2 linked regions of the Macaca mulatta genome follow. The protein of the gene in region 1 interacts with the protein of each later gene in a pairwise test. Links are inferred from orthologs where the notes say so. Each region holds a gene or a part of one and is shown on either strand. Other genes may lie near its edges.

The links.
Region 2: the proteins of NR1H2 (region 1) and MED1 interact in a two-hybrid assay, tested with the Homo sapiens proteins (2 studies listed by BioGRID and IntAct, with this or other methods). The link is inferred for Macaca mulatta from reciprocal best matches to the Homo sapiens genes NR1H2 and MED1.

Annotation. Positions count from the first base shown.
Region 1 is NC_133424.1:62,768,926-62,771,425, forward strand, and holds part of NR1H2 (oxysterols receptor LXR-beta), read left to right. Parts: intron 1-427; coding exon 428-527; coding exon of another isoform or gene 528-554; intron 555-2,500. UniProt on the Homo sapiens protein: Nuclear receptor that exhibits a ligand-dependent transcriptional activation activity. Binds preferentially to double-stranded oligonucleotide direct repeats having the consensus half-site sequence 5'-AGGTCA-3' and 4-nt spacing (DR-4).
Region 2 is NC_133421.1:63,788,968-63,792,718, reverse strand, and holds the start of MED1 (mediator of RNA polymerase II transcription subunit 1), read left to right. Parts: upstream 1-1,370; 5' UTR 1,371-1,580; coding exon 1,581-1,605; intron 1,606-3,751. UniProt on the Homo sapiens protein: Component of the Mediator complex, a coactivator involved in the regulated transcription of nearly all RNA polymerase II-dependent genes.

The DNA of each region.
Region 1 (2,500 bases):
GAGAAAATTGAGGATCAGGCCAGAGAGGCTATTTTAGAGAAAAGTTGCCAAAAAGGCTTTTCAGAGGAGTTAGCGTTTGAATCAAAGTAGGGATAACATACAAGTATTGAGCGCCTACTGTATGCTAGGCTCTATACCAAGTGTTGGCATATGGCAAAGAACAAAGCAGATCAAACCCCCTGCTCCTATACCTTGTGCCCACCTGGGGAAGGAGTATCCTAAGGAGAAGGGGATGCAACGTGTGCGAAAGCCCAAAATGAAGAAGGAGCTTGGGCTGTCTCACGTGATGGCTGCACACTGGTGTGGCTGAGAGAACGGGGGACGAGGGATATTCCTGGTGAGATTAGAACCCCATTTGGGCCAGCAGGGGAGGGACTAGCAGCCGAAGGGTCACAGGGCTTGAGCCCCCTCCCACTGCCACCCTCAGATCATGCTGTTGGAGACAGCCAGGCGCTACAACCACGAGACAGAGTGTATCACCTTCCTGAAGGACTTCACCTATAGCAAGGACGACTTCCACCGTGCAGGTAGGGCCCAGGGGAGGCTTTGGGGAGGCTTGGCCCCCCTGCTAGCTGGAAGACCTGGGGCCAATTCATCCCTGTCAGAGTCTGTTTCTTTATCTCCAAAGCCGGGGTGAGGGTTGAGCCAAGGTGAGAGCAAGACAAGAGTGTGTATGTCATGCGTGGTGGTGTGTGCCTGTCGGCCCAGCTACTCAGGAGGCTGAGGAGGGAAGATGGCTTGAGGCTACAGTGAGCTGTGATTGTGCCACAGCACTCCAGCCTAGCGACAGAAGAGACCGTGTCTCTATTTTTTTCAAAAAAAGCATGTATTGGCCGAGCACGGTGACTCACGCCTGTAATCCCAGCACTTTGGGAGGCTGAGGTGGGCGGATCATGAGGTCAGGAGGTCGAGACCATCCTGGCTAACACAGTGAAACCCTGTCTCTACTAAAAATACAAAAAATTAGCCAGGCGTGGGGGCGGACACCTGTAGTCCCAGCTACTCGGGAAGCTGAGGCAAGAGAATGGCTTGAACCCAGGAGGCGGAGGTTGCAGTGAGCCGAGATCGCGCCACTGTACTCTAGCCTGGGCAACAGAGCGAGACCCCGTCTCAAAAAAAAAAAAAGCATGTATTGAGTGCCGACTCTGTACAGTGGGTTGCAGTGGAAGTTGAGACAGAAGGGCCCTGTTACCATATCAGGCGTCTTGGTGGGCACTAGGGAAAGCATCCCCCCACCCCAAAACCTGGTCTCACCCAAGGGAGGCAGCCTGGAGCTCAGTCCATTGTGAAGTGGGCAGCCTTCCCTACTGTCCAGGAGCACTGCTTCCTGCCCTCCGAGAGCGCTACCTGGGTGTGTCGCCTGGGCGGGTGGGCTTCTGGAAGAAGGCCTGGGCAGTGAGAGGCACTGCCTAGGAAGAGGGTGGGAGGCACGTTGCTAGTGCTGCAGAGCATACACCGGAGCCTCGATTCCTCATCGTCCCGTAATCTGTGTGGGACCTCTCTGCATTTCCCGACATCTGTCTGAGTCCCACCCTCTCCCCTTCCTTTTACCCTGGCCCTTTCACCACCCAAGACGGTCCCAGTAACCCTTTTAGTATGAGCTTAGCAGGGCAGGGCTTCGTGGAAGCGTTTCTGGCAGGGGGATCGGCGATTGCAAAGGCCCTGAGGTCAGGGAGAGCCGGTGGTTTGGAGGAACTACAGGGAGGCCCAGGCAGCTGGAGCACAAGGAGACGGGGTGGAGAGGTCGGGAATCCCACCCTACCCCTTCCCAGCCCCTCCTCTGGCACCACCCTGGAACACTGCCAGAGTCCCCTTGAGGGGCCCCTGCCTCCACCCCCGCCTGATGGAGCTGCTCACAGGGCAGGCAGAAGGGTCCTGTCAGCACTTGAGGCCGCCCACATCCCTCCTCTGCTCAGAACCCTCCACAGCTCCCGTCTCACTGGGAGAAGAGCTGGAGTTCTCTCTGTGGCCCACAAAGCCCTTTAGGACCTGGCCTCGCTTACTCTCTGCCCTCAGCTTCCACCCTCTCCCCCTCCTCCAGTCACTCTGGCCTCTTACTGGCACCCACCTGCCATGCTGTACTTGGGAGTTTCCTTTGCCCAGAACTAGGGGGACCAACTGGTCCTAGTTTGCCCAGGACCTTCCCAGTTTTAACACTGAAAGTCCCATGGCCTGGGTAGCCCCTGTCCCAAGTCCTGGGAACAGCAGACAGTTGGTCACCCTCACAATCCCTCACCTCCTTGGGGTTGGTCACTGCTCCAGCGTCACCCACGGCATGGCCTTCCCTGCCCGCCTTGTGTAAAATAGAACCGTGGCTCAGCAGGGCCCTTTGCCCTTCTCTGCACTGCCTGATTCCATAGAACTCACAGCCTTCTGACTGGCTGGGCCTCTTCCTAATGTGTTTGTCTATGACCTGTTCCCTAGGCCCTCAATGTAAGTGCTGGGGCCTGGCACATGGCAGGTACTCGGTGATGTTCGATGAATGAACGAACAAATCAGT
Region 2 (3,751 bases), on another chromosome or scaffold:
TCATGTTTGTATTACCAGTTCCAAATATACACATATTAGGACTCCACAGATGCTTACTAAGTGAAGAACACTTAGTTTGAGGATAGCAAATTATACAGTTTTTTCTTTTTTTTTTGAGACAGAGTCTCACTCTGTCACCCAGGCTAGAGTGCAGTGACATGATCTCTGCTCACTGCAATTTATGCTTCATGGGTTCAAGTGATCCTCCTGCCTCAGCCTCCTGAATAGCTGGGATTACAGGAGCGCACCACCGGGCTAATTTTTGTATTTTTCGTAGAGACGGAGATTCACCATGTTAGCCAGGCTGGTCTCAAACTCCTGACCTCATTTGATCCACCTGCCTCGGCCTCCCAAAGTGTGGGGATTACAGGCGTGAGCCACTGCGGCCAGCCAGAAATAATTTTGAAACGAAAAAAATGAGAAAAGGGGAATGAACTGTGCTAGTCTCGCTTTGAACATCATGTTACAATGCGCCACTATCTTTTTTTTTTTTTTTTTTGAGACGGAGTCTCGCTCTGTCGCCTAGGCTGGAGTTCAGTGTCACGATCTCCGCTCACTGCAAGCTCCGCCTCCCGGGTTCACGCCATTCTCCTGCCTCAGCCTCCCGAGTAGCTGGGACTACAGGCACCTGCCACCACGCCCGGCTAATTTTTTTGTATTTTTGGTAGAGACGGGGTTTCACCGTGTTAGCCAGGATGGTCTCGATCTCCTGACCTCGTGATCCGCCTGCCTCGGCCTCCCAAAGTGCTGGGATTACAGGCGTGAGCCACCGCGCCCGGCCGCGCCACTATCTTTCTTAGGATGTAATTACTGCATCTAGTATCTCAGGTTAAACTTATTTTTCATAAGACATTTCTGATACCGATACCCTTTGAAATGCTAGTCTTGGCCGGGTGACTAGCCAAGGCGAAACGCCGTCTCTACTAAAAATACAAAAATTAGCCAGGCGTGGTGGCGGGTGCCTGTAATCCCAGCTACTATGGAGGCTGAGGCAGGAGAATCGCTTGAACCCGGGAGACGGAGGTTGCAGTGAGCCGAGATCGTGCCATTGCACTCCGGCCTGGGCGACAAGAGCAAGGCTCCGTGTCAAAAAAAAAAAAAAAAAAAAAAAAAAAGCCAGTCTTTAAGTACAGCGACATGTTAATTAATCAGTTAATTTGCGAGTTAACTGCTAAAATAAAATAAACAAAAAAATGCCGGTTTCCGAAGGGAGCTGAAAGCTACATACAGCGGCGTGAGGCCTGAGACAACTCAGATCAAAGAAGACAGGGCTGAAAGAAATCTCGCGAGGCCCACGCATCGACCAATATTCGCGAGATTTCGATGCCCTGTCCTTTTCCTCTTTCTGGCAGGACCACGGTTTATCTCGCGAATTTTGGGAAGTTCCGTTGGGGAAGATGGCGGCGGCCTCGAGCACCCTTCTCTTCTTGCCGCCGGGGACTTCAGACTGATCCTTCCCGCGAAGAGTAGGGACTGCTGGTACCCTGCGTCCTGGAATCCCGAGCCAACTTGTTTCCCCCGTTAGTGGTGGGGAAGGGCTTATCCTTTTGTGGCAGATCCAGTCTCTCGCCGCCTTCAGGATGAAAGCTCAGGGGGAAACCGAGGGTAAGTGACTGAGGGGGAAAGGAGGGGGCGGGACACAACTGGGGGAGCCAGTTTGTGAGAGAAGGTTCTTGCAGATGTCCCATGGGGGCCACTTGAGGGGCACAGAGTCCGGGAGAGGGAATGTGTATGAGTTTTAGATTGTCACTATACCCTCCTTGATGACTATAGAGCTTCGACTTTGGGGTGATGGGGACTCTCAACTTCTGTGAAGATTTCATGCTCGGCTAGGGCACTTTTGGCCTAAAGTGGTGCGAGACGGGGCTAGTGAATACAAAACCAGCTTACATCTCCTTCCAGAAGAGACGCCTGAATAAATTTAGGGCTGTGTGTAAACGTACTGGAGACTATTTTGGCATGAATGAAATGATTAATTCCTTGTATTTATTAGCAGCCAGCGGATCCCTACAATGTCAAGTGTTCAGATCCTGTACTGTTGTGTATTTTTAAACTGTGCTGAATTTCATTCTTTTATTGACCGAACTAATAACTGCAGAAAAACAACTTTCCTGGGGAACTTTACTAAGATTTTCTAAAGTTCCACACTCCGGCTTAGATGCTTCCTTGGCATTTTGGGCATAGTTCTGTTGATACAGTGAGCTGTGTTATTGTTTGTTTATCTCCAGTTTACTCTGAGCTTTGCAGATTAGGGTCCTTGCCTGATTCATTTTTATATAGTTTCTGGAACGTAATAGTCGCTCAAAAAATCTTGGAGCATCGAAGTGCAGATATTTATCAGCAGGTTTCTCAAGAAAAACAAGGAGTGTGTTTTGGAGGAGAGGTCGAAAGGTGAGGCCCCGCGGGAGCAGTGACTCACATCTGTAATCCCTGCGCTTTGGGAGGCTGAGGCTGGAGGATCCCTTGAGCCCAGGAGTTCGAGACCTGCCTGGGCAACATAGTGAGGCCCTGTCTCTACAAAAAAATGAAAAATTGCCGGGCGCCGTGGCTCACGCCTGTAATCCCAGCACTTTGGGAAGTCGAGGCGGGCGGATCACCTGAGGTCGGGAGATTGAGACCAGCCTGACCAACATGGAGAAACCCTGGCTCTACTAAAAACACAAAATTAGCTGGCTGTGGTGGTGTATGTCTGTAATCCCAGCTACTTGGGAGGCTGAGGTGGGAGGATCACTTGAACCCAGGAGGTGGAGGTTGTGGTGAGCCAAGATTGTGCCATTGCACTCCTGCCTGGGCAACAAGAGGGAAACTTCCTCTCAAAAAAAAAAAAAAAAAAAAAAAAAAATTGGCTGGGCGTGGTGGCTCATTCCTGTAATCCCAGCATTTTGGGAGACCAAGGTGGCGGATCACCTGAGGTCAAGAGTTCAAGACCAGCCTGGCCAACATGGTGAAACCCTGTCTCTACTAAAAATACAAAATTAGCCCGGCATGGTGGCATGCCTGCAATCCCAGCTACTTGGGAGACTGAGGCAGGAGAATCACTCAAACCCAGGAGGTGGAGGTTGCAGTGAGCCAAGGTGGTGCCACTGGACTCCAGTCTGGGCAACGAGAGCAAAACTCCGTCTCAAAAATATAAATAAATTAATTAAAAATAAATAAATAAATAAAATAAAAAATAAAAAAAATTAGGACCAGGTAGTGACTCAAGGATGTAGTCCCAGCACTTTGGGAGACCGAAGCAGGCAGATCACTTGAGCTCACAAGTTGGAGACCAGCCTGGACAACCTGGCAAAAGCCTGTCTCTACAACAAATATAAAAATTAACTAGGCATGGTGGCACAAGCCAGTAGTCTCAGCTACTTGGGAGGCTGAGGTGGGAGGATTACCTGAATCCTGTAGGTCAAGGCTCCAGTGAGCCAGAATTGTGCCACTGCACTCCAACCTGGGTGACAGAGCGAGACCCTGTTTCAAGGAAAAATTAGCTATAGCCCCAGCTACTCTGAAGGCTGAGCTGGGAGGATCACTTGATCCTGGAGCATGGGAGGTCGAGGCTACAGTAGACCTTGATTGTGCCAATGCACTTAAGCCGGGGCTGCAGGGTGATGCTCTGTCTTAAAAAAAAAAAAAAAAAAAGAAAAAATGTACTCCTCAGGTGCAAGGGGAGAAGGGTAAAAATGGAAACTTTGTGAAGTAGGAGTTTTTGTCTGGTTTGTTCACTGCTGTCTTTTTAGCAATTTCATTTATTCTTTTTCTT